4 linked regions of the Lytechinus pictus genome follow. The protein of the gene in region 4 purifies or fractionates together with the protein of the main gene of each other region. This does not show direct contact. Links are inferred from orthologs where the notes say so. Each region holds a gene or a part of one and is shown on either strand. Other genes may lie near its edges. The genes, in order: dolichol-phosphate mannosyltransferase subunit 1-like, lysine-specific demethylase 6A-like, RNA-binding protein 28-like and F-box/WD repeat-containing protein 7-like.

Region 1 (6,944 bases), on a different chromosome or scaffold from region 4:
AAGCCTTATTTTTACCTGAAATTGGGTGACATATTGTATGATTGCAGTTTGCAAACTGTGAAAAACCCTCAGAATTTTACAAATCTTAAATCAACATTACCACAAACTTCCTCATTACAAAAAAATGATTCAATATTAGTTTGTGGGAATATATACATGTTATGTGTCAGTTAAAGTCACATGTGGCCAGTCCAGTAATTTCAAGTTATATTTAAAAAAATATTGCTACATTTATTTTTGCTGTCCCCATGAAAATTAGCAATGGGTCTGCTCATATATTTACCGACCAGGGCTCCGTAACACAAGGGTTTGCGATGAATTGCAAATATGAAAAAGCCGCACTGATTGGCTCCCGGTCAGTATTTTAAACAGAGTGCGCATGTAACGATGATCTTGATTGGTCATTGGTATTTAGCGATTTGCAAACCTTTGTGTTACGGAGCACAGATGTGCCGGGAGCAGTGAAAAGTAGACATTACAATAGCATATTCCCTTTTGTAACTGGTCAGTACGTTTGTAAATACGCAGGAATCTTGTCTTAACATCGGACAGTAAAAAATCCAATGAAGCAGATGCCTGACATATTTTATCCTCGTGGCATCAAACTGGCTTTAAAGGGATGATGGTTCTTCATCTCTTAAAAACTTCTTGGAAAAATAAAGTCAACTACAAATTTATAGCACGAAAGGTACCACACATTCAAAATGAAAATATAGACTCTTCAGTGTGTATCAAAAAAAAAGTTTACACTTAGAAAAACCCTGTAAACTTATATATAAGTAATAAATATCCTGAAGATTTTCCACATTTTAACATTGGTACAGATCCATTTAATAAGCGAATGAAATAACCGTTGAAAAGTATTTCCGCTTGAGAGAGCACCACTTACTTTTGAAAAGTTAGTGAAAAACGATTTGTGTGGAACTTTGAAATAGTTATGGTCGCATTTCATAAGTCGGGTATGCAAAAAGGGTGGCGTATGAACAATTTTCCACACGGTGCCATGGATAAATTGTTGCTACATCACAGCCCCATGGCCAAATTTGTTGTGTAAGGTCTCATTTTGAAGCTAGAACTATAGGCTTAATATATTACTATGAATTAGATCAATACAATATCAGGAACAAAAACTATAGCACATTAAGTTTGAAGTAATAGGGGTGGCGGAGCCGGTGGATGTGGTGAATGATAGAATATTAATTAAACCTAATTAACAACTTACTATAATATGTAATATGACTGTTATCCTCATATTTCTGGGCATTTTAAAGCAGGGAACTAAATGTCAAAAAAAAATTGACAATTTTGAAAATATGCAGCAATGAAATACATAAGTATGTCAGCTCTGATCTGCAACCTAATCAATTAGTAAACCAGAGAAATTTGATTAATTAACTAATTTGTAATCTTAATTTTTAGTACAAATGTTGTGTATCATTGCAACAAACATTTCTACCCATGATGTCATTTTGCCAAGCATATAAATACAGTGACAGGTATTTTGGGGGCAAAAATGTGAAATTAAATACTGTTAATTAATTAGTATAATAAATATGCATACAATAATAGATAATTATTTGATTTTGGTACAGATTTAATTATTGATGTTTTTCAAGATTATAACTGCAAAATACTAGGGTGATCCAATGTTGCATTAACTTTTGACACTATTTTCTGTGCAGCAGGTCCAATTTGAGAAATACACATTTCAAAATTCACATTTACATTGACGTCTATGTAATAATTAGCTGTTAATTAGTCATTTTAAGGAAAAATAAAGGTATTCGAGACTTAAAACCTTTTCATTATTTAGAGAATAGTAATAGCTACAACATATCAAAAAATAAAATTTTGACCATTTTTACCCTGTTCGCGAAATTGGACCACCTTATGACATGCGACCATATATATGAATAAAAGTAGAACTTAATCATGAAGAACACATGGAATTTAGCTAGTAAAATTGATTTGAAAATATCTTTTACCTTTTTTCACTTGTTTCCTTGCCCAAAACACTTTGAAGAGTGCCATTGCACCCCATCCCACTCCCCCACACACCGAGGCCATCGTGACGATCTTTGCTTTACACTGAGCTGTGATTTATATGAAATGGCTTAGGCGTGATTCTCATTTTGTTAATCATTGTCAAACTTGGGAAAACTGTGGAGAAACAAGTATTAATTGAAAAATGAAATGTAAACCCACTTTAAATGATAAAAACTTGGTGACAAATGCTGGAGATGTCTGATATAAACTTTTGTTTAGATTCAGTTATGTCCTCAGATCCAGCTGGCACAAAAAGTGTAAAGGCTGTACTTACTAAGTGTTAAAATTTTAATTTGGATGGCAAAATTGAAATGCTTGAATGTATCTGTTTTATTTCAATTGAGTAAAGTGCAAGGGAAATGTATGAGAAATGTTTCGCAGGGTAAGTTTGATTTCGCCTGTTACCCATGACACAGCGTGAAAACAAGAATTTCTGCGAGCTTTATAAAAATGGAAAGTGCTCACTCAAGTGTTACACTCTGTCAAAACTTTTACTTTCATTGGATAGATGAGACCCAAACCCAAGAATATATGTGAAAAAAATACACACATGCCATATATTTTTTAATTCCCAGGGCTTTTGCAAAGAGTATAAACTTTTTTTTTGATACGTACTGTATAAAAACACACTAACCAAACTAATTCGCTTTGAAAAGATAAATTATTTTATTGTTTCCCCAAAGTTTAAAACTAAAATGCATAACATGTGGAAAGTGAACAAGCAATGAACCTGGTAAATAATAGATCAGATGTAACTTATTGAGGTACCAATGTCACGTGCTGGTCTAGACCGGAAATCCAAGACCAGATGGCTCAAGACCAAAACCAAGATGAAACGTAACTGGTCTTGAGACCAAGACCAATCTTGAGAGTCGAGATCTTCAACAAGGATTTCTTTTTTGAAGAAACATATTTTCTCACATTTCAAGCTTGGCTTTCATGAGGAGCACGGTACAGACCATGCGTTAATCTCTTTTGTTTAAAATGTTCTCCATCATTCGATTGATCGTCCCACACTGTAGGTATTGTCCTGGACTTCTCCAATGCTTTAGTATGACCCTCTCAACCATGACATTTTACTTCTCAGACTGTTTCACCATGGTGTGCGTGAGAAGGCCTTGAAGTAGATAAGAAGTTATCTGTATTATCTCTTAAACAGGAAGCCAAGGGCTAGTCCAATTTCACTGGCTGCCAGTCTAGCTCATCTGTTGATCTCGGCAGACTTCAGTGGCCCTTCAAACGCTTTCTCTGAGGTACAAAACTCCTCCTCTTTGCTGCAGATGGAGCATCGTAGGACCAGTGTGCAAAGCAGCTCCTCCCTCTTTGACAAATCTTCCAAAGGAATCAGGTGCCCTGTAAAGTCAGGAAATATCATAATAATAATAATAGGCATTTATATAGCGCCATCTATCTAGAAATAATCTATTCCGAGGCGCATTGTTTATCATTATTATTACCCCGGCTTTAGCTTGAGCTGCCTCTCAGCGCTCAGTGCATTCAAGGAATTAATCCTGCCGGGTACCCATTCACTTCACCTTGGTTGAGTGCAGCACAATGCGGATAAATTTCTTGCTGAAGGAAATTACGCTATGGCTGGGATTCGAACCCACGACCCTCTGTTTCAAAGTCAGAAGACTAATCCACTGGGCCACAACGCTCCACATCAAGTATTATTGAATAGCCAATCAATTAAAGGTCAAGTCCACCCCAGAAAAGTGTTGATTTGAATCAATAGAGAAAAATCTAACAAGCACAAAAATGAAAATTTCATCCAAATCAGATGTAAAATAAGAAAGTTACATGACATTTTGAAGTTTCACTAATTTTTCACAAACTAGTTATATGCACCAAATGAGATAGTTGATGATGTCCCTCACTCGCTATTTCTTTGTTTTTATTGTTTGAAATTGCAATATTTACAAATTTGACAATAAGGACAAACTTGACTGAACCATAGAATATTAAAATGACGTTAATTCCACATATTTAGGGAGGAAACTACATTCACATGACAGTGAGGAGAAAATTAAATATTTTATATAATAAAATACAAAAGAAATAGTGAGTGATGTCATCAGTTCCCTCATAAAAAGTCATATATTTGCATACCGACTGGGATGTCATGTGCGTATTAACTATTTTGTGAACATAAGCGAAACTTAAAACATAATATAACTGTCTTATTTTACATTCGATTTAGATAAAATTTTCAGTGTTGTGCTTGTTGGATTTTTCTCTTTTTATTATTCAAATCAACATTTTGTTAGGGTGGACTTGTACTTTATCTACAAAATATAGAATCCATTTCAGAGCAATATTATCTTGATTATCAAGCAAGAGATTGATTATTGCAAATTTGCAATCCATTTTTACGATGGGGGAATTGTAACTAAGATGGTCTTTTATTCATTATATTTTCATTTTTTTGCACACATAGACAGAGCCAGGCAGATCTCGATCTAACTAAGATTTAGATATTCATGAAGATATTTAGGTTTAAGGGCATAAGCCATAATAAGTGCATTTTAAAATGGGTATTGATCTACATGACCTACATTTATAAAGAGTAAAGTATCAAAAATAAGCAATAAGAAGTACAAACCTCCTTGGCACACATGAGTCCTTTGTAAAGCAGATGCAAGCCGTTTCCCACTGACCAGGTAAAAACCATCAAGATCCCTACGTAAATCTTGGCATGTGGGACCACTTTGTTGTAGATCGGGGCTCTCCATGGTTTTGTTGAGGGATAGCTTTCTTTCTAATACTGGTGTTGCTTCTTGTACCTCCTCTTCTCCATTTTTCAGCTTCTTCATGACATGGTATGGTGTTCCTCTAAAGAAATTCCTCTTTTTTTATGTATTTTGGGGTTTTGCGAGGCATTTTGAGTCAAGTGTTTACACAGCCAGAGGGCACATGAGTTTATTATGTCCCTCACTCCCTCTAGATGGCAGTATATTAGCATGCATGTATGTCTAAAACTAGTCTAGGAATTCAGACCTTGTTCTCTTCATTTTGATAGGTTTTGGTTTACAATTTTATGTTTAATGGATTTTCAATGAAAACTAGAATGTTAATTCGTCATGAGGACGAATTAAGTGATCTGTCCCTGATTCTCATAATCACAAATACAATCAACACGTTTATTCAGATCAATATGATCATCATGATGAAAACTGAACTTTTATAATGGAACTTAGAACTTGTTGAATACTCTTGAAAAGGGAGAAATGATAAGGTTGTGTGAAAAGGTATAGGTAATACACATAAATAAAAAAATAAAAATTTTAATCTCTTTTATTGTGCAATATTTAGGTGGTCAGTCTATGACAGATCACCTCTTGATTTCGTTAGAATTTTCTTTATTTTTATATATTTATTTTTTTATAGCCAATTCTTGTTGCCAAGTTTTCTCTAAATTGGCTCTATCAATTTTACTGAATTTCATGTCATTTATAAAGTCTATCTTAGAGATGCCATAATAAGCTTTTCAAGGTCATCTGGTCATGATGACGTCATCTAGGCGCCATTTTGTAAAATTCTTTATTTGATCATCCCAATCCCTCGCCAAAAGCATCGCAAATTAATGCAAGCTTGAACTGTTCATTAAAACTGTTTTTTTATGGAAAGGCCATCTAAGTGATCAATATCAAATAAAAAATAAATAAAAACTCACCGATTTCTCTACGTTAAGCTCATCCATTTGTCTCGATTACGTCTATGGTGTTCAACAGTGACAAATCGAAAAAAGAAAAAAGATCTCACGAAACCAAGAGGCTCATCAACCCGTTTGGACAAAATATTGCTCATTCCATTCCATTCCTTGTTTTTATTTGGCAATAATGCTCATAATGCATTCTGGATAGCCTCAATCAAGACAAATTCGCAATTTTGTTTCATATCGATAAAACCTTCACCCTTCACCCATATTAATCCAGGGCGGTAAAAAACGGGGGTTTGCAAAAGTGATATCATGATGAAAATGAACATTCAACAACAATATGAACAATAAATGAAAAACAAAAATAATAATAGAAATAACAATGATAGTATGAAACAAAAAGAGACTGATTGAGAGAAGAAGCAAAACCAATAAAAAAAGCATATTTCCTTTCACCATATATGACAAGATACATTTCATTATAGAATAAACTACGCTGATGGTGCTACAACAATTATTCTTGTGTATAAAAATAGAGAAAAAACTATTGAGTGTCAGTGGAGAAAGAGACTACTATCGTTGTGGTAAGAAGCATTTTATCCAGCTCTGTAGAGGTCTGTGGTGTGGTTGTGGTGCCGTGAGGCTAATTACAACAGAAGGCAAAAGCTATTTGTTCGACCCAACCCATTCAATTTTTTTTCAATTTGATAAATTGCTGATTGACACAAGTGTATGAATATGATTGAAAATCTAACAATGATTCTAGAAATTATGGTAACTACTTAACTGCCTTTGCCCAAATTGGGAAGATGTATCAATGACTTGGAACTATTTTTTGACTGGCGGAAGAATTAGGGCTATTTTACTGTTTCAGTTGATGAATTTGATCCCATCATACATGTAGTTATCTTCATAAATGGCAAATTTCAAATTTCACTTTTCATCTATACTTGTAAACCAAAAACAAAAATTGTATAACACATCTACAACTACTAACAGGTATAAAAACCAGGAATTTACTTTTAGCCCAGCAGTGCTAAAATAAAACCCATGAAACTAAACAAGTGGAACGCCTCTGGCAGTCTCGCCTGCATTACGCAATTTAATATAGCAGCAGTGCTAACTTTGAAAACTACTATAAAATAATTATTCACAAAAACATCATTCATATAATGACATAATACCACGTTCATTGACCATAAATGACATTTGAACAGAGACTTAAGACTGTCAACTACTC
Region 2 (7,678 bases), on a different chromosome or scaffold from region 4:
TCTGAACCAATGTTTATTCAATGACTTTCTCCTTATCCTTGGCTTTCTTACTCACCAAGAATCTAGTACAAAAAAAGATAACTTGATTCATAAAAGAAAAGAATGAATATTTAAAAATTGGACATGGCTCATGAATAATTCTCTATTCTTAATAATACCTTACGAAGCTTGTATATCAAATCTCTACAAAAAGTTGATGGTATTTGACATGATCTAATAATCTAAAATAAAACTTGACATCATACCAAGCTACATGTACATATAAAAGTTACCAAATAAAGTCTTAAAAAGCCATGTTTTATAACAGAAGATTACGGAAGTAAAGTATCTGCATACTGATGGACATATTAATTAATCCTTTATCCTTCAAGAAACCCTCCAAAAGATTGAAAGCACAAGAAATGACTAAATAATCTAAAATTAAATTGAAACCATTTCAAAAACGATGAAGAAACAAGAATTCCTACAAAAAGGCTATGGTATCATGACTACATGTAGGCCTTCATGACATTCAGGCCCTCAAATTAAAGATCTGTGATGGATTGCTAATATAAAAGAACGATTCTGATTGGTTCCTGGTCAGTGCTTTGAACAAAATTTGTATGCAACAACGATTCCGATTGGTAGTAAGCACTGACAGTGATTGCAAACCATGGAGAGCTCTGTGGTTAGACCACTTGTTGGGCATCATCTAATCTTACATGTGAAGCTATCCAACTCTGTACACAGAGTGAAAGGTAAAGACACCAACTGACCAGACTGACCTTGTCCCCAGTCAGTGGTCATTCTCTCTGATTGACCAGTGGCCTAACTGTGACCTCGTGCAAGGTCAGATAGGGTAAGAAACAGGTGGATGCAATAACCCAATTTTTTTTTTCTACCCTGGAGCAGGCCAGTGAGGCTGGCTAGACATTCCTATTACACACAGTCCAGTAATCTCTGGTTCTGGGAGTAGTCTCCCTTCCGCAGACACTGTTTTACAGCTATCTGTAAACAGCTGTACAGAACAGGGGCACCATTTCATAAAGGACTTGCAACTGTTGTACCTTTGTCATTATGGCAACTACCATGGTAACCTTGATTTTGATTGGCTGCTGAGCCCTGTTGCCATGGTAGTTGCCATAATGGCAAAGTTACAACAGTTGCATTTATGAAACGGCCCCAGATGTGGATTGGTCTATTCAGTCATCTAATAAATCATGCAGCAAATAATTAACTTAATTCCCACTAATCCCCACACATGAAGAATCAGCCATCATCAGCACAAAAGAAATTGAAAGATTGACCAAGCAGCTGAGTGTAAATGTAAAAGTACAATCAGACAGGCCTACTGTAGTTAGAAGAAAGTAAGTCTTCATGTACTCATAAAAAAAATAGATGGAATTTTGAATTCAAAGTGAATTTCAACATTTACATGTAGCTCAGTTATAAATAATAGTGCATACATGTATGACTGGTTTTCAAGGGAGGGCTGAGTGGGATTATGACATTATGATGATTCTTATTTCCATATTCAGAAAGAGCAAACTGATTCCTTGAGAATCCTTTGGGCCCGTATTCTGAAGTCATGTTTAACTTATTAATAGACCAAAGTCTAACTCTCTGCCAAAAATTCAAAATTCTGTTTCTCTTACGTTTACTTTTTTTTTCCAGTTGCTTTCATAACAAAGTAAATTACTTCAATTATCATTCCCAGACAATTATGAACAATTTGAGTGTCAAATGAGTTAATAAATTGGATGTGTACTGTTAGGGATTGTACCCGAATTGGCTCTCCATAGTTAAACCACAACTTTAAACCAGAGTTTAATTTAAACCCGAGTTCAGAATACGGGCCTTTGTGTTCTACCAAAACAAACTTGCAAGCTCTACAAAGATTTGTTTTTTATCAGTTACACTTTAACTGATAATAGACACTATAAGACTGTATAAACTATGACTAATTCAGTCAGTGTCAATAACAAATAGTTTGGAAATGAGTTACGCCTACATGAATGTATTTTTGTAGTTTATGGTGTGGTGTACACAGACCCATCAGCTTACTTGCTCAAAGAAATATCAATATCTAGCAAATTCCTGATCAATATTCACACAAGAGATACCACTATTGCACTTGAAAAAGCCTACATGTATGTTGTATTAACAAACTATTTTGTTAAAAATGGACAGAACTTGAGCTTACTTGCTCAATGAAAGATCAATATCTACATACATGTATGTTATTGTTGCTAGCAAATTCCTGATCACAATACACAGAAGAGATACCAATATTGTACATGAAAAAGCCTACATGCATGTTATAACAAACTAATTTGTTAAAAATGGACAGAACTAGCACAAAAGGCATGAACATTATATTATGTCTTACATGTATCAAATACATGCCCAAGCGCTCACAGCACTATTATACAGCCTATAAAAAATTGTCAGGTACCGGAGTACTGAAAACTATAGGCCTAACTCTTAATACACACTTCTGGAGAACTTGATGCGCCCCTTCAGTGAAATGAATATATAATCCAGCGCAAAAGTGTGGGTGAATCGGTAGATAGAACTTGACCAAGTTTCAAAGTTTGAGCACAAAGAAGTTTGGAGACTAGTAGTAGGTTCTACAACTCTATTTACCCCACATGTACATGTAGTAGCAGTGTATGCCTCCTGTAAAGCCGGAAAGGCATGAACACTGAAACGAAGATTGTACACAATAACCACGTGCAGATGGCAAGAGACCCAAACAGATCAAACTCCCCCTATACAGTACATACCTAGTTATTCTAGTAACTCCTGACTCCCAAATGTAGCATAAAGTCCAGATATCTTTCCAAGATCACTCCACAGAAACAAGTTACTGTCCAATATATATTTCCAATACACCTGGGTCAACAGGAAGTGGTAGAGGGGTGTAAAAACGCACCCCTTGCATGTGCACTCTTCTGGTATGGGTGCGTAATTAGCCCCCCTTTCTGACTTGAATGTGTACCCCCTATTGATCCCCTTGTGGTCTGCCAAGCCTGTTGTTTGAGATGGGTCACTCTACAAAAAAGGCACTGCAACAATAGAATGGAATTCAGACCCGCTAGTCTACTCTTTTAGACCCTGGTGGGTGTTTCATAAAGCTGTTCGTAAGATACGAATGACTTTACGCACGACTGGTTTTCCTTTCTTGTGCGATGTCATATCCCTATGTAATTGAGTTATGACCTAAGAACATGTTCCAGTCATGCGTAAAGTCGTTCGTAACTTTACGAACAGCTTTATGAAACACCCACCAGGGTTGTTTATGATTTGGATAGGAGTAATACATGTACGGTGTATCAACTGCATCATTATGGAGGCTGGATTCCATGGTTGGCTTTCAAATTTCAACCTACATACAAAACACATTCAATCTGTTTTATGTGAGGGATCAAATGCTTATATGAAACAAGCAGGCAAAAATAAATACAAATATAATGACAAACGACTTATCTATAGCTTTTCACGTACGCAATATCTTATCATTCACTTTCATATCCTTAAAATACATCTTAGTCAGATGAGTCAAGGGTTAAATTGTGAATTCGACTTCGCCAGATTCATCTCTTCTCTGAAGAAGAAAAAAAGGTTCAATAACAATTATTGAATTGACTCAAACATTGTTTATATACCAAATATGACTAAATACTAGAAATTGAAATTAAATGTCATTTTTTTAATGCTATCTCAATTTTCAAGCACCCCATGCCCCCTTCTTTACCCCCTTCCCGTCTTTATTGGAGATAACAAAAGCTATACATAGGACTTGTGATTCAGGGCATTGGCCTTTCCGTAGTTATGAACTTAAAATGAACCCAGCGACATTTTATTTAGTTTTGTCCTATGTGATACAATCAATAGACCACTTAGCTGAGAATCAATACATAGTACAACATTAGATTTAGTTCACCTTTCCAAAATCAATAACAAAAGGTCATAAGTGACACAATGAAAGACAACAGGAAACAAAATACTACAACCCAATGCCTCATAGATGATTGGTTGAGAAATCGAAGGGCGGTGACCAACTTGACCCACATATTTGAATATATGGTCACAACTGACATGCAAAAGAATGTACATTAGATTGCTAGTTCTTTACATGCATTTTTCATGAATATGAGCAAAACTTTGAAAATCCAATTTCGATGAAATGTTCAGCATGACGCTTATTTGTTTTAGTTTGTTACTTTGTTTTAACGTCCAAATTTACTTTTTGCAAGGGAATACTTCTTCAATTGAAGGTTTTGTATCTTTGGATTGGGAGAGGGAAAGCATTCATTGAATTCATATGGGAAAAATTTAACCTTTTTATTATTTTTTTTGTGTGTGTGTTGACTGTTGACCAAAAGTTTACAACAAACAAATGTTTATTTCCAATTGTACAAATAAGTACGAGAGAAACTGATTCTTCATTCCACATAAGATTACAAGACATCACACTGAAAATGGCCAGTAGAATACTCAAATTCCTGACTTTCATTTCAAGCTGGAAAACAGAAAGAATGTATGAAATAGACTAGCCACTTCATCTTCTCCTCAGTGGTCAATATCCTCAGAGCAAGAGGGACTGACGCTCAAAGTCCTTCTGCATCTTAGCAGTCTATGACCCCTGTTACATCTGAAAGTTTCCTACCCGAGACCCGACCGAGTCCACTTGCAACCTTGACTGGATTATTGGTGGATTAGCTTCGCGAACAGACTGAGTCCGAAATGTGGTCTGTTTACATCACAGCGTTCATTCCATCCCCTATCGGTACGGTTTCGAGCAGTATCCGATTGCTGACACCAAAGGGCGCTCTCGATCTATAGGCTCTGAATAATTTGCGCGCGCTAATTGAAGTTGTTTACATTTCGTTACACTCGTCGGCTGCTACACAGAAATGACAGGGTGGGACGTGTGCCGATCATTTCCAGAGAGAGTCGAAACGACTCTTTACCTTTACCCGAGATTTAGGAAGAATGCTGATGATCCCAGCAGTCGTTGAAGATATGATCGACTTGAAAAGGATACGTTTAAAATGCTTCCTTCTTTCCACTCAAATCAAAGACTTTATCAATCACAATTCACATGTCGCATGCCGCAAAACATTTGAAGAACGACGGGGCTGGGGAGAGGATAGCGCGCGCTATGACGTAATTTGACAGCTGGCGAACGGACCGAGATAGGTTCGAAAGCTTGTGTGCGTTTACATCTACGAATCGGTGGACCGGGGCCGGCCCGATACCTACCCGAGACTACCTCTGGATGTGGTCTCGGGTAGGTTCGCTAAAAGGTGGCCCGAGGTAGGTTTGGGATGTTTACATCTGATTTCTTTCCGACCCGAGGTAGGCCCCGGGCCGGCCCGAGGTAGGGAATCTCTCAGATGTAACAGGGGTCTAAGTAGTGGACAAATAAGGAATAAACCACAAGATGTACACAGTAGCTGACATCTTTGTAGTCTCGGCTTGTTGAAAATGAAACTACACATTCCTAACGAAACCTGGATTGAATGGAGAGCAAGCTGTGAGCTATTTGCTTTTCCTACACAAAGCAAATGGCCATCAACATACCAGTCCCTTTAATCAGGACTGTGTTCACCTATGAGATTCAAAATATAAAATTAAGAGAATATATATACATCTTTTAGTATCACTATTCTGCATTTGAACAGCACTGTAACATGTTGACCATCCACAGCATGCAGGAAAAACAATACCAAAAGTCCAAAATACATTTGTTTTGTTGATATAACTAATTTTTTTTGTAGAGGGACTTGACCGTTGTAAAGAAGGGTAAAGATTAATATCGAAAGTTGTCTTTTTTAGTGTGGTGTAGTATTTGGCTATAAAGGTCAAGTGTGTATATTGAAAATATCACTATTCACTGTTCATTCATCTAATCATGTATTATTGATTCATTCATTTATATATTCATCAATTTATTTATTGATTCTGTCTTACTTTCTTTTAATTTATGCATGCATTCATTCATCCATCCATTAGTTGTCTATCTGTACATTCATTTAAGAATCTTACTAATTAATGATCTATTTCTATCTATCTATCCATCCATCCATCTATTGATTTGAATACCTTGTTATCTTTCTATTTTTCTACAGTCCATCTCAGTATAGAGTCAAATGGATATGAACTATTCTAGCTGAAGCATTTTGAAATGGTAGCACACTACTTTTATTTTAATGCCTTTTCAATAAAATTCTGCACTGTTTCATACAATCACCAGTTCACATGGAACAGGCACGGTCCACTTTACGAAAAGATTCAACTCGGCCTACGAGACATTAGTGAAAGGTGATTCAGACAGCGAAACAAGGCTCAAAAGCAAGAAGAATGCACCTTGATGTATGAGAATTAATATCTGCATCATTAACGTCAAAGAACAAAATCTAGAAGCATTAGAAAGTACATGTAAAGGTGGGCTTTTAAAGCATCAACAATGAAATCAAGACGGCAAAGACTGGATGAATTTTTGATGGTTTAAATACGTGGGAAGAATAATTTATTGATGCTATCTTTTATTTTTCTTCTCATTCATTCATAATGCGTAAAACTATTTTCAGATATGAGGTAAATCAAAGAGAAAAAAAAAGATTTTTGCCTCAATAAATAATGATTTAATGGCATTTCTTTTTTTATTTGTTAATATTAGTGGGGTACTTTATGAGCTTGTTAAAAAATTGTGATTATCATTTTCTTTGGGTGTGTGTGATTAGTATCAGAATTTTCAACAATAACAAAAGCAATCAATATGAGAGATTCTGGCAAAGGGGTTCATTCTTTACCACACTTATATAATTGTGAAAGATTTATACATTGCTCTGTAAATCCCATTTTCACCATCTCCAATACCTACATTTTGTTTAAAAAAAAAAGATTCAAGCATGCAGCCAATAGCAGTATTGTATACGAATCTAATATTTTATCATGCTTTTATTCAATGCAATCACAATCATGATCCTGTGATGAGGCTTTTCGCAGTTCATATAAGAACTGTGTACATCAGGCGAAACATAATTTTTATTTTCATTTTCGGGGGCTACTTTTTCACACCTTACTGCCTAAATCTGCAATGTTGGATAAGCTTTAACATTGCAATGAATGGGGATTTCCTGGGCTCCTTTATTTTAGTTTCAAGGGCTGTTCTGAGTATTTAGGGGGCTAAATCGCCCCTAGCCCCCATGTAATTTTTTCCCCTGGTGTACACTCAAGTTGATCTGCACTGTGGTTAGGCTTGTATATAAACTGGCCTGCATTGACTATATTGTGTAGGCCTATGCCTTTTCATTTTCAATTCAAGTTTGTGATTTTACTAGGGTGTTTTTAATGCACCCCAAAACCCCTAAACGTGATTTATCAGTGGTTAAATTTACTTTAAGTTTCTACCAGTTGATTACAGGGGCTACAGAAGGAGTGGACCCTCCTCCCCCCACATTTTTTTTCTACAATGTTCATAACCATGAAAATTACAATTACTTGTTGCTTTTTCTTCTTGGTCAGGCCCGCCCCCCCCCCCCCCCCACCCCCAACTTTCAAGATCGCTCAGCGACCCCTGCATTAGTAATACGCAAGCAAAGAGTGTTGGCCTACATGTTTGTGTTGGATGTTGGAAGGGGGGGTGCCCACCAACTGACCTGACCTTGGATTTCAACAGGGGGTCAGC
Region 3 (6,929 bases), on a different chromosome or scaffold from region 4:
ACATCGAGGCACAAACTGGACCCTCCAAAAAAGGAAAAGTTCTGTCTCGTTCGTTTTCCTTCTGTCAAAATTAAAAACAAAATGGCCGATCGATACCAAAACAAACACGACATAGACATCTAACTTTTTCTTTTTTTGAGGGTCCAGTTTGTGCCTCGATGTTCGGATAGCTGAGCCTGTGCACTTGTTCACTGCAACCATCCTGCCTGTGGGGAATCTACAGGTACATGTAGGACTATGGTATGCCAATGCTGTACATAGCACACACTTTAAAAAATCATTAAAATATCACTTTTTTGACCAAAATTACTAATTTCCATACAGTTGCAATTTATTTTTCATTAGTAACTTGGGAATATTTTTTATATTCACCAGAGCGCTCAAAAACTTGAATTTTGGGCATATTTTTATGTACGCCCTCTATTGATGGAAAGTAATATGGCAAGAAAATTTTCATTTTTCAATCTCTAATTTTGATTAAAAAAAAATAATTTAAAGAATCAAATTTACATAAGAGCCAAGTTATATGATGAATAGCTGTATTGGAAACTGACAGTGTAAGAAAATCAAGCATTTGTCCCATAGAAAAAGAGAAAATAAGCCAAAATTGCCACCCTTATTGTGCCACACATGGAGATGTAACTGAGAACAAAGTTATATCATAACCTTGTTCATTGAATGAGTGAGCCTGTGTCACGATAGACCTTCATCCATATAATCGAGGTAAGTGCATAATTTATTTTTTCCCCTTTTATTTGAAGTGCTATTCCGACCCCATTCTACCCCATTTTGGAGAGTATATAGATTTATGTTTGACTAGTATTACACGGATGACTCCTGGGTTTATAGACTATAGACTATAGTATGATATAACCTTGTTCTCTGTTAGTGTTACTGTTAGTACTCCATGTGTGGCAAAATAAGGTTGGCAATGTTTGGCTTATTTTCTCTTTTGCTTTGGAGCAAATGCTTGATATTGATACTGTCAGACACTCAGATTCCCATTACAGCTAATCATCATATAATTTGGCTTTTAATTAAATTTGATTCTTTTTTTTTTCTAAATTAAAAAAAGAAATTTAAAAATGAACATTTTCTTGCCATATTTATTACTTTCCACCAATTTTTTCTAAATAAAAAAAAAATAGAGATTGAAAAATGAAAATTTTCTTCCCATATTATTTACTTTCCAGTCCACCAAAATATGCCCAAAATTCAAGTTTTTGAAGTTTGAGCGCTCTGGTCTGCTGAATACAATTACATAAATGATTCTCATGTCATTGTTTCTAAAAATAAAATTGCAACTGTATGGAAATTCGTATTTTGGGTCACAAAAATGTTATATTTTAAAGTGTGTTGTACACTGCAAGCGTCCGTATCGTGGGTGAAGAACAATAGAAAACAAGATGGCGGCGTAAACATAGGGCAAGTCTCTTCCGTCTTTTCATGATATTTTCCTCATATTTTTGATGAATTCTTGTCTAGAAATAAAATCCATGGCGTAGAAATGTCGGAAATGAAGTTGTATCTCATGTACATGATTTAGGGCTAGATCTTTTAGAAAGAAAGTTGAAATCTCGGGGGGCGAAAGTTTCACTAAACTTTCAGGTTTTTTGGTGGTAGGCTACACGCAAAAGTATAGGAAGGAAGACCTGGCTTCGTATATGAGAATTGAGAGTAACCTTATGTTACTCGTTAGTAAATGTTTTTACTCTCTAGAAGCCTCCTGGCTAATCCTACATAGATTCCCCCACAGGCAGGATGGTTGCAGTGAGCAAACTGTGCCGCGCACACGCTTGCCTTCGCCGGCCTGCCCAGCCCCAGGCGGCGCGGTGCGGCTCCGCTCCTGCCAGTAGAGGCGCCGGTCAGAAAATTGGGATCGTCCCAGAATACAGGGACTGTCTCAGTTTATAAGGATTTCTTCACACTAGAAATCTAGGAAAGTTCATTCACCTGTCAAGTGCCGACACCAATCAAGTGTGCTAGTCAATGTAAACATATCAGGTTTCATAACAAGATTATTGGAAGACGGTAAGTCATGAAAAATAGACGGCGAACTGGGGGGAATTGAGGTCACTGAATCTATTTTTAGCACTCTCAATTTCCGTAATTGCTGTCTTTGTCCCGTAGGGAGAAGTGAAAAAAAAACGTCCCCATAAACAAGGACAGTCTCAATTTATCAAGACATGATTTGTCTTGGTTTATGAGGATATCCTTGTTTTCTGGGACAATCCCAGTTTTTGGACCAGCGCCTCTACTGCCTGCACTCGTCTCTTGTTCATTGAATGAGCGATGAGTGCCTGCACTCAACTTGTCTCAACTCAAAGCCAAAGGCAAAGCCAAACTAGACAGCTGGCAGCCGTCTGTTTCGAGGAGTTTTTTAACTTTTTTTATTTTTTTTATTTCTCCTCGTACACAGACGGCTCGCTAGCGTGCAGCCACCATTAGGGGACTTGCAATGCAAAATCCCCCCGTCGGGGCTCTTCAATTTTTGTCTTTAATGAATAAAAATTTTGAAAATTAACGCGACCAAAATGCAAATTAATATTCCCTCTTGGCATTAATTGCCAAAAAACTGAGAAAAATCAAGTTAAAAGGAACAAAAACAGTGACTTACCTTGACTGTCGCGCAAATTCACTTCCCCGTTTTATCCGATCTTAAGTACATAAACATATGGCCGTTGAGTCCCCTGTACAGATCGCGCTAGAACTTCGGTCTCTGTATTTGGTGAGTGAAGCCAACGGAGTTCAGCTGAACAACCAACATAACAGAGACCGAAGCTTTTGGTCTAAGCCAAACACAAACTATGACGATGTCTGGCGATGAAAATGCCAATTAAAAAAAGGAGTTACACACTTACCTCTATCAGTCACAACAAAGCACTGCTTAATAGGACCAATTTCTCCGAATTGTGACTCCAAATCTTTAGTCGTAGCCGAATATGGCAAGTTCCTTATAAAAAGTGTTGAGCTCACATGTGCTGTGGACGCCGCCATCTTTAAATGTCAATTCTGTACGCGCACGCGCAATAAAGTGCCTCCTTGTACGAAGCGACCATTAGGTAAAAGTGTTTCTTCCTCTTGGTTTCTTTCCACACAGATCAACGCTTTAGCAAGCGACCATTAAGGATGAGATGACAAACTCTCGGCCGCTCTCGGCGGTCCAATAATCGATGAAAGATTGATGACAACAGGCCAGGGTATGCAAAACAAGTACTTCTTAGGAAGTTTCCGAAAGCAGATATGTAGTTCTAGGTTTTCCTCCTATGTGGTCAATTTCACCCAAGATAAATGTTGATTTGAATAAATAGGGGGGAAAAGGTACAAAGCTGAAAATTTCATCAAAATCGGGTGTAAAATAAGAAAGTTATGAAATTTTAAAGTTTCGCTTATATTTCACAAAACAGACAGACGATGATGTCCCTCAATCACTATTTTTTATTTTTATTGTTTGAATCATACAATAGTTCATTTTTTAAGATTTTGACAATTAAAGCCCAACTTGACTAAACCGTATACAATGCTGATACCACAGTCGGGATTCCATTGTCAGTGAGGAATTAATTTATGTTTCACTTGGCAATGAGGAGAAAATTAGAATATTTCATATATGATATAATAAAATACACACGAAAGAGTGAGTGGATGATGTCATCAGTCTCCCCATTTGCATACCAACCAGGAAAAGCATAACTGTTTTGTGTAATTAAGCGACCTTATAATGTCAGAACTTTCTTATTTTACATCCCATTTTGTTGGAATTTTTAGCGTTATGCTTGTTGGATTTTCGTATTTTTATTCAAATCAATTTTTTGTTGGGGTGGACTTGTCAGCCCGGAGGGGGGGGGGGGCAGTCAAATATATTGCTGTAAACATGCGTGACCCCCCCCCCCCAATAAAAATAAAATAAATAAATAAAATAAAAAATAATAATAAATAAACGCACAAAGGCGTGCTTTTTTCGTTTTTGGACGCGGGCCGCGCGTGCACTCGTAAAGGGTATCAAAATCACCGATTTTCCCAAAAAAGTTGCTTTAAAAAACTGGTCAATAGTCAATCGCGGGGTTAAACGTGTTTAAAGTATTTTTTTCCAAAGTTTTTTAAGACTAGCCAAACGTGTTTAGGGTACGTTCCCCCCAAGCTTTTCCCCGGGCTTATTAGATTAGATGACACTTATTCACAGTGTTAACATGTATTCCTTTGTGGAATTTTAATCCTAACTGCACTGGGGGATGCTATACCAATGAATATAGTGTTGCCTATTTAAGCTTATTGTTAGCAATTAGACTAAACTTGTTCAGGGGTAAATTCTGGCGACAACTTGTTTAGGGGCCAAAACGTGTAAATGAAGCCCACGAAAAACATGTTCAGGGGGTTATTCTGCACACAGAGAAAAACTCGTCTAGGGGGTGTTTGGAAATAATTTGGCCACGCGTGTGCACAGCAATACATTTGACTACCACCCCCTCGGTGGACCTTTAAGATGGCTGGCTATTTGCAGAAACTGGACTTCACCTGTAGTCAAATTTCATTGGTTCGTTTTACATCATCAATTTAGGCTTCTTGGATTTGCTTTAATTAATGATAATTGTTTGTAGAATGATCAGGATCAGTGCCTATTTATCATACAAACTTGAGTACGAAACTCGGGCTGATTGTTATTGTTGTTGAATTCCAAACTCATTCAAGGACATTTTATATTACACATTATATGCGAATAATGCGATGACTTGAAAAGGGACGCTTCAAGGATTGTTGGCAAAAATTCATGAAACGAAAAGGCCTGCTAAAATATATCAAACCAAATATTGCGAGTACGAAGTCTGGACGGATTATTATTTTTTTAGACCTGGTAGGTCTATTGTTCCAGTGTAAGCTCAACGTATCTCAGTCGCAATTTATTGAGCGCAAAGAGTAGGTTTTATTATTATTAATATTCAGACCTGAAAACAATAGGACATGTAGGATGCGTATCTCAAAAAAATATATATTATTAAGCCTATTAAAAGCGTGAGCGTCATTAGTTTTTGGTACCTTTTCAAGAATACGGAATATTTTTCCGTTTAATGTTCCTCAGTGTTCTTTAATTCATTTCCCATCCCCGTCCTTTGTGGTCACTAAGTTCCATGGTTTCAGTCATGTTCTCAGCAAAACTTTCAATTCAACGTGAAAGGTTAACAGAAAAAAATGTTTTGTCGCAGTGACTTCAAGTCAGGCGCGTAGCCAGGGGGGGGGGGGGGCGGTGGGGGCGGTCGCCCCCCCCCCCCAAAACGTCCCCCCCCCAAAAAAAAAAAAGAAGGGAAAAAGAGAGGAGAAAAGGAAAAGCGAAGGGAGGAAAGGGAAGAAAGGTAGCTTTGTGGGTTTTTCTTTTTCTTTTTAATTTTTTCTCAAAAGAGAAACTATTCACTCTTGCTCTAAAATGTATATGAATTTTACTTCCGCGCTGCGCGCGGTTAAATGACAATATTGCAGTTCTCCTTTGTATCCCCTCACTCTTTCTCTAACCCTGTTTTTCCACCTCAGCTATATGTGTTTCTTGCCAGTTAAAGTTCAAATGTATACATTAGGGAATGGAATTAGAGTAAGGTTAGTCCGAAGTATATGAAGTTATCTTTTTTTTTTCAAATTGATCGCACAACTTCTGGTCGGGTCGATTCCGGGCGGGTAAAATCTTTATATCAATTTCTGCCGTCACCTCCATATAGGCAACTTCTCCCGCTTTTCAGCTCATTACTAAACAACCATAATTTGGGGGCAAACAGGTACCTATTATAAAAGAGGAAGGTATACAATTCGTGTCGTATTAAATAAAAAAAGTACAATATTTTTTTATCAAATTCTATTAAACTTCATGTCCCTGCACGATCATCTCCTATCCTGTTTTGCGCCCTCATTTTGAAATTTCGAATGACATCTAAGTTTCTTTATCATTCAAAATTAAGCGCTTCAGGATATTAGTCAAAGAAATCATTTTTTTTTATATAATTTAAATAAATCACAGAAGTTTCAACTTTTTGTGCACTATTTTCCTTGTAATGAAGTTCAATAATCTTAGAAAATCAATTGAATTATAGCCGATGGGGTATTAGAGATATCTGCATTTGATGAAACGTCCGCCCTTTGAAATTTCAGAGTTTAATTGCTCAGGGCGGGGAGGAATATCTTCCTCCCGGCATATACCCTAGCTTCTTCTCCTCTGTTTTGCGAGTTAAAGATATAATTGTTTGTAATCAAATCTGATCTTTCCAAGGGACGCATTTATTTTAACCTAGAGAACCTTTATCTCGAGACCCTTTTCTTTGGAAAAAAAAAATTGATAAAACGCTTTAGCTTCCGCGCCTTGCGCGGAGTAATTATTATTTTATCCCTTTTTTGTGCGTTCACAATCACTTTTGAAAACAAGGTTCAAAATCACAATATATTCAACTGAATTGGAGCTGATATAGAGACAAGAGAGACGGCTCCTTTTCATTTTAATTTATGAAACACCGAAAGCTTCGCGCTTCGCGAGGGAGGGGGAAACTCCCCCTCCCTGCACCCACCCCCTAGGGAGCGCGCTTCGCGCGCTCTGTAAGTGTTGGCACCGTTGGCACGCTTCGCGTGCATTTACCGCCCCCTCCAAAATAAAATCCTGGCTACGCGGATGCTTCAAGTTCGTTCCTTTAGTCTGTTTTTATTATTAGTATTACCTGTATCCGGGACCTGTATACAATGCACATTATCAGGAGAATTGAAGCCCCCGAAATCCGAGAAACCGAATTCAAAAACTTCAAAACGGTTTCTACGGACGGGGTTGATGGGTACTTTGGCGGGGTTCAGAAACTCAGGCGGAAACCCGGGAGAAATTTTCGGAATCCAAACATCTCCCAAGAAGATTGGTGATAGAAATATTAGCAACTTGAGACGCAGTCAGGGTCAAAGGTCGCATC
Region 4 (7,290 bases):
TCCTATCATCATGGTTCGTACGGCACTGCAGCCGGTTCCTATTCATATCCACCACATTGCTCCCGATACCAGGTACTGTGATCAGGTCCTGGATGCTGTTGAATCCCCCAGAGGCCTGCAATATTACAAACACAAAACATGTATTTTAATCTCAATTTACTCTCAAAATGTTTGAGAAAACAGACATATCGTTCATGAGATATCCAAAAGAGTAACATTGCAATTACTATTGCAATGGGGCAATCAATAAAGAATTGCCAGCTTTTTCATTTTCTCACTTCCTTGAAAACGAAACACAGCACAAGACGAAAAGACAGTAGGGGAAAAAAATCCTGTTTTACTACTCTCACACGGAAGAGCACTCACCACTGGATATGACACAACTGACACAAAGGGTGTTTTTCCAAAGCCATCTTCTATTCCTTTGAGCAAAACACTAGCTCTAACACAGATCTCTCACTAAAAGTCAACTCACTCTCCAAAATAAAGTACCGAGAAGCACCAGTATCATGCCCCACTTTAACATTTCTTGCCTCTTCACTACCATATTAAAGAAACATGTCTTACAAAGATCAACTGGGAAGGAGAAAGGGGAGGGGAAGAGGGTGTCCCAGCAGGAAATATGAGATTGCTATCATGCACTATTAATTTCGCATCCTAAGCCATTTGACACTCACAGTTTGTACGATTACCAGTTTTCAGACAATATCATACATATTTCATCAGAACATACTAAGTCAAAACATCAAATTAAATTGATCTTTCAGAATTAAGAAAAAAAAAAGGATTACAAATTTTCTTTGTAGTCCAAAGTTCTACAGAAATCACAATACTTTCAAGGTAATAAGAATGTAAAGATGCAAAACGTACATTTTCAGCAACATTTGAAGAGGGTCCCCCCCGCAAAAAAAAATTGTTGGTTAACCCTTATTGCCTGTCTAGGTATATATTTTTTTTTCATAATAAACGTAATGACTCAGGCCTAATCCTATCATTAGAGTGTAGAACATTGCTCCCTGGAAATTCAACCCAATCTGTAAAACTGCAGACCAAAATAGATTATCAAAGCTTGAACTTGTGTGAACCATACATACCTCTCTATGCTGGACGATAGCTTCAGCTCTGTTCCTCCCCACACCGAGTAGAGATGTCAGGGCATCTACATCAGCAGAATTGATGTCTACCTTTGCCATGGTACGGGAAGACTACCTTTTCTCTCAGCTGAATATCACAAATATAACGGGGGCAAAAAAAAAACATGCACTGAAATAACAAGTTCCATTCCAATTCAAAACATGGAATGGTAGGAGCAGAAGCATGTACATACAGTCTTTACAGTCATAAATGCAACTCACACATTATTCAGTGAACCCAGAGCTTGCGAGAACTTAACGTATCTCACTCTGTCATGACATCAACACCTTGCACTCGCAGCAACATACTTAATCACTTTGGATATTTTACTGGATGCCAATCTTTTATATCTTATCATGAAAAAAAAAATCTTGGATTCTTGGGTGTACATTATTTGTTGGACCTTCAGCCTTCTAGCACTAAGCAGTTCTGGACAATTGACTGAAGAATCAATGATTTCTAACTAACAGTACCGTAGATCAAGACATCCGTTCATTAGACAATTTCCACTGGAAATTCTCTTTTTTTTTTTGCTTTTCTTAATTTTTGTTCAAATAGGGCCTTCAACAACTAGTCTGGAAAACCTATATCTTGACCCTATCAACAAAACTGGCTCAGCACTGCCAACAAAGTAAGCTCTTTCAGTCTTTGTGACCGAGTTAGATAGCTCAGCCTCAGATGGACAGTGAAAGTGAATGCACACAATAAATCTAATGACGTGCACATTTTCGAAGAGATCCTGAACGCAGTAGAGGCGCTGGTCAGAAAATTGGGATCGTCCCAGTATTACAGTAATTACAGGGACTGTCTTCAGTTTTCAAAGATTTCTCCACAAAAGAAGTAGTATAGAGTTCATTCACCTGGCTGAAATAAGTGCCGACAACTAAACAAGTGCGCTAGTCAATGTTAACATTACCAGATTTCATAACAAGATTATTGGAAGATGGCAAGACGTGAATAATAGACGGTGAAGTGGGGGAACTAAAGTCACTTCATCTATTTTTTAAATTAATTTTAGCACTCTATTCCCTTAGTCGCTGTCTACACTCTACAAGACTAGTCTACATATCTTGCACTTTTTGCAGGCTGCAGAGTGCAGGGCCAGGGTAAGTGGAAAAAAAACCTGTCCAAATTAGTAATAAATAACGACAATTTATCAAGACATGATTGATTTGTCTTTGTTGATGAGGATATCCTTGTTTTTTCAGGGACAATCCCAATTTTTGGATCAACGACAACGGCCTCTAACGCGTTTAACTGGAACGCCGCGTTGTGAATATGTGATTGATGGAAAATCATGTTGTTACGTGCACTCCCACTCCCAGGCCATGGCCGGGCATGGCCATGCAGAGCACTCAAAATCAAATTCAAAAGATGACTGGGTTTTCATGAAGAAGTTTGGTGCAATTTTTTAAGATAAGATTCATGAAAACTTGAAAAGCGTTTACAGTTTGATCTAAACTTCACAAGTTTGGAATGACTGATCACGCATAATCATCACACACGTCATACACGTAGGCATACACATTAACCGTACCGCGCCGGGTACGCGATGCGGTAGTACGGTACCGTACCTGTGCTGTGCTGCAGCTGTGCGGCTGCAAAGCCGGCCCCAAGGCGTTTCGCACTGTCGTCAAGTCCTTCGGGAACCACAGGATAGCATTTCCTGGTCGAAAATTTCATATTTTCACGTAAAGCAACTTCTCATTAATGTTATCATGATCGTAGAAATGTAGTAAAATGAAATAAAAGGTGCAAAATGTAGAATATCTGCTCCTTTATGAGGTCTACTTTGTAGTATTTTCTTCTGTGTACGGAGGAGCTGATAGTATCATTGAACGCAATTAATCCATCTTACATTACGTTGCCAATTTAAGGATCCTTTATAATAGCGATCTCCAAAAATTTCTTATCTCTGATATGAAACTGATGAACGACATGTATACTGAATTGATAATAATAATAATGATAATAATATTTGACTGATCATAATAATGAAATGATATATGAGAAAATAAAAAATTTGATAAGAAAGTAAATTTACATCTTATTTTTTGCTCGGATTTCATAAAAAACTTTTCGTGTCAATCTCTTGGGGATACGATTGAAATAGACCCCAAGTTTGGGTTATTTCAATTCGACTCATCGTCGCGTCTATACTACCATTGATCTATGCGCATAGTCTCATTGCCATATTGTCCACTCACCATTTCGTATAATTAACCAGTTGTTCCAATAGCCCTTTAGTCCATAAACCATTTGGTCTAATTGGATAAGTGTTATTGGGCGAAATGAATAAAAGAAAATGGATATTAGACCAACTGCTTATTAAACGAAATATGGTCAGGGATGAACTGGTGATTAGACGAAGTGATTATTGGACCAAATGGTTATTAATTGTCGATCACTGATAGACGAAATGTTGATGATGGACGGAATGACAGTTTTTTTAGACTAAATGAAGGTTGACCATGTGATGAGTAGACGAGTTGGCAAAAGACGAATCGGCAGTTAACCATCTCTTGGTAGCATCAGAGAGAGTTTTTGGTCGCATGTTGGAAAACTTTGTGCTCCTTTATATATATCAGCTATGACTTCCATATCATGAGATTTCAACCCCCCCCCCCTCCTCCGCCCATCTATCAAATTTGAGGGGATTTTCAGAGTTTGAAACTTGAATGACATCCACAATTATGCCTTAGCCAACTTCACTGAAGTATAAGTTATAAAGGTGAAATTATACACCGTAACTTTCGTCATTAATCAAATGAAATAGGGGGTCTACAATAAAAAAAGAAATTATTTAAACAGCACGTACATGCAAAAAGAGAAGATGGATTACACGTGGGCCTATGCGAGAAGTCTCCGTGGGCATCAACGAGTGGGGGGTAGCGCAGCGCCCCCTCCCCCTCTCTCAATGAGGGACCACCAGAAATGTGGCAAAAGATCATGAAGATATGAAAGTGAAAATAGAAGAATGCACTCTAAAAAGTGAAGTGCTAATTTAGCACTTAATGTCCTTGTATAGTGACTGCACTTTGAGTGCTGATCTTTTCCTAGTTCAAATTTGAATGAGCACTCAAAGTGCAGTCATTATACAAGGACAAATAAGTGATAAATTAGCACTTCATTTTTAGAGTGTAGAAGAAGGAGGAAGGGAAATAGAAATGTAGAAAGAAAACGGAAAAGAGACAATCTAATTTGTTTTCTCTTTCACCTTTTTTCTCCCCATTTTAGCCTTCCTTACTCTTCTTAGTTCATGGCTCCCCCTCTCTCTTTGTCTCTCCCCCTCCCTGGCTTCCTTCTTTCATGTACGTTTATTCTCCCAACAGACGTGTTTGGTGACGAAATTTGCCAATAAAATTTTAGACCAATCCTGAATAGTGGCAGGGCTTGGTCGTATCATATTGTTTATCACCTTTGCAAATGTCCATATAAAAAATATAGCTTTCACAAAACTCATTTATTCTTTATTCTCTGTGAGATCCTTAACATCACTAAAATAGTGGTGATGGAGTGTTTTTTAGTATATTTAAAATCCGTAGATTCATTGTTTCGTTGGCCAATCTTGAAACTTTATGTTGAACGGCTTTCGGCGGCTCCAAATTAAGCTTTTTCTGATTAAAAGTATCGGATTATCAGTGCGAGTTGCGGCGATGGTGAAGTTGATCGAAATTTCACTTATATGATACTCTGGTTGTGTTCTTATATTTATTTTATTTTATTTTTTACTCTCAGCGAAGTTATGCTGTTATCATGATTTTTTTTCGGGGTGATGAAAATAAATTTATTTTGATGTAATTTTCTAAAGAAATTACATTACATGTATTAAAAAAAGGGTTTGGCTGCATGCAGCATTGTAGAAACATGATTTCTTCTTTTAAAGGGATGGTTCAGGCTGGAAATATTTATATCTCAATAAATAGAGTAAAATTCACAAAGCAAAATGCTGAAAATTTGATCGAAATCAGATAACAAATAACGAAGTTATTGAATTTTAAAGATTTGCATTATTTCGGTGATACATGCAGTTCTAGCCATGTCTTTGTGAATATTCATTAGGTGGGCTGATTATGTAATTTCCCAACTTTTTCTTTTGTATTTTATTCTATGAAATAAGGTTTATTCACAATAATATTTTTCTACCAAGAACTAAAACCTTGGATTGACAACTGATTTAGTGCATTAGTTATTCTTGCCGCAACAGCTTATTTCATCATAATGGAGACACATCATTTACACATGTATGAAATAATGTAAAATTTATGATTTCATGTAAAACATAAGAAAAGGGAAAGTGGGGATGTGAAATCATCAGCCCACCTAATGAATATTCATGACATGTGCATAAAACTGTTTCCACAAAATATTGATAAACTTTAAAACTCAATGACGTTGTTATTTGTTATCGGATTTTGATAAAATTTTCAGCATTTTGCTATGTGAATTTTACTCTATTTATTTAGATGTAAATAATTTCAGCCTGAACCATCCCTTTAAACTATCATCCCCTTGATACACACATCTTCACCATATGCACCACCACTAAGCAGCAATTACAATATTATGGTTCACTATCACTTCTTAATCTTATTCAACGTTTACGAATTTTGTTTTAAAATCATATTTTATTTATTCCTCATTATACATAACATTTTAAAATAATGAATAATACCAAATCATTAACATAAATATAGAAGGAAAGGAAAGAGAGAGAGAAAAAAAACGTTTGGTCTACGATCGTCGCAGTGCGCCCGTAGGGTGATCGTATAGGCACATCCTATTAATCGTATTCTACAGTGCGTATCAAAAAAAATTTACACTTTGAAAAAATCCTGTAAAATTATACATTTGTAATATCCTGAACTCTTTTCCACATTTTAACTATGGTACAGGTCCATTTAATCAAATGACGATATAACTGTCGAAAAATATTTCCGCTTGAGTGAGCACCACTTACTTTTGAAAAGTTAGTGAAAAATGATTTGCGCAGAACTTTGAAATAGTTATGCGAATAAAAGTAGACCTTAATCATGAAGAACACGTAGAGTTTAGCTATTAAAATTGATTTGAAGATATTTTTACCTTTTTTGACTTGTTTCCTTGCCCAAAACACTTCGAAGAGAGCATTACACCCCACTCCTCTCCCCCACACACCGAGGCCATCGTGACGATATTTGCTTTACACTGAGCTGTGATTTACATGGAATGGCTTAAGCTTGATTTTCATTTTGTTAATCATTACCAAGCTTGGGAAAAATGTGGAGAAACATGTATTAAATGAGAAATGAAATGTAAACCCACTTTCAATGATAAAAACTGAGTGAAATAATGCTGGAGATGTCTGATTTAAACTTTTGTTCAGATTCAGTTATGTCCTCAGATCCAGCTGGCACAAAAAGGGTAAAGGTTGTGCTTACTAAGTGCTGAAATTTCGATTTGGGTGGCAAAATTGTTACAAAATGCTTGAATGTATCCGTCTTATTTCAACTGACTAAAAGTGCAAGGGAAATGTATGAGAAATGTTTCGCAGGGTAAGTTTGATTTCGCCGTTTCCCCTTAACACAGCGTGAAAACGAGCATTTCTGCGCAAACAGATTTCTGCGAGCTTTACAAAAATGGACAGTGCTCACTCAAGTGTAACATTCTGACAAAACTTTTACTTTCATTGGATAAGTGAGACCCAAATCCAAGATTATATGTGAAAAAAATTACCCACATGTTGTATATTTTTTAATTCCCAGGGCTTTTTCAAATTGTAAACTTTTTTTGATACGCACTGTATAGTAGTCTATGCTATAGAAGTGATCCCCACATACTGTAAATCGTTAACGTTGTCATATAGACCGAAGAAATTTACGGTGCGGGGATGGGGGCGGGGGCTGAGTCGGAAGTAGCATTAAATCACATTTTCACGGTACTTTTCATGATTTCGTACACGCTTACTGAAAAAGTTTGGGGCTGAAGCGAGCCTCACCCCCTTTCCCGGTGTCACGGCCCCTTAGATAATCGCACTCATGTGCTTAGTCAAATGTAACCGATATAAGGAAAGGAAAGGAACGGAAAGGAAAGGAGAGGAAAGGAAAAGAACAGGGTAAAATATAATACTTTCTGAATATCTAAAAAAAATCCACCACAAAATTATAGTTTTGTATT

The links.
Region 1: the proteins of F-box/WD repeat-containing protein 7-like (region 4) and dolichol-phosphate mannosyltransferase subunit 1-like purify together in Homo sapiens (affinity purification with mass spectrometry, with the first as the bait; 3 studies listed by BioGRID). This does not show direct contact. The link is inferred for Lytechinus pictus from reciprocal best matches to the Homo sapiens genes FBXW7 and DPM1.
Region 2: the proteins of F-box/WD repeat-containing protein 7-like (region 4) and lysine-specific demethylase 6A-like purify together in Homo sapiens (affinity purification with mass spectrometry; 3 studies listed by BioGRID and IntAct, with this or other methods). This does not show direct contact. The link is inferred for Lytechinus pictus from reciprocal best matches to the Homo sapiens genes FBXW7 and KDM6A.
Region 3: the proteins of F-box/WD repeat-containing protein 7-like (region 4) and RNA-binding protein 28-like purify together in Homo sapiens (affinity purification with mass spectrometry, with the first as the bait; 3 studies listed by BioGRID). This does not show direct contact. The link is inferred for Lytechinus pictus from reciprocal best matches to the Homo sapiens genes FBXW7 and RBM28.

The regions. Positions count from the first base shown.
Region 1 is NC_087246.1:37,878,997-37,885,940, forward strand, and holds the start of dolichol-phosphate mannosyltransferase subunit 1-like, read right to left. Parts: upstream 3,009-6,944; coding exon 2,968-3,008; intron 1-2,967. UniProt on the Homo sapiens protein: Transfers mannose from GDP-mannose to dolichol monophosphate to form dolichol phosphate mannose (Dol-P-Man) which is the mannosyl donor in pathways leading to N-glycosylation, glycosyl phosphatidylinositol membrane anchoring, and O-mannosylation of proteins; catalytic subunit of the dolichol-phosphate mannose (DPM) synthase complex.
Region 2 is NC_087260.1:15,816,969-15,824,646, forward strand, and holds the start of lysine-specific demethylase 6A-like, read right to left. Parts: upstream 3,008-7,678; 5' UTR 2,766-3,007; intron 1-2,765. UniProt on the Homo sapiens protein: Histone demethylase that specifically demethylates 'Lys-27' of histone H3, thereby playing a central role in histone code. Demethylates trimethylated and dimethylated but not monomethylated H3 'Lys-27'.
Region 3 is NC_087263.1:7,833,285-7,840,213, forward strand, and holds the start of RNA-binding protein 28-like, read right to left. Parts: upstream 3,023-6,929; 5' UTR 2,998-3,022; coding exon 2,862-2,997; intron 1-2,861. UniProt on the Homo sapiens protein: Nucleolar component of the spliceosomal ribonucleoprotein complexes.
Region 4 is NC_087249.1:44,557,767-44,565,056, forward strand, and holds the start of F-box/WD repeat-containing protein 7-like, read right to left. Parts: upstream 3,001-7,290; 5' UTR 2,709-3,000; intron 1,222-2,708; 5' UTR 1,194-1,221; coding exon 1,095-1,193; intron 116-1,094; coding exon 1-115. UniProt on the Homo sapiens protein: Substrate recognition component of a SCF (SKP1-CUL1-F-box protein) E3 ubiquitin-protein ligase complex which mediates the ubiquitination and subsequent proteasomal degradation of target proteins.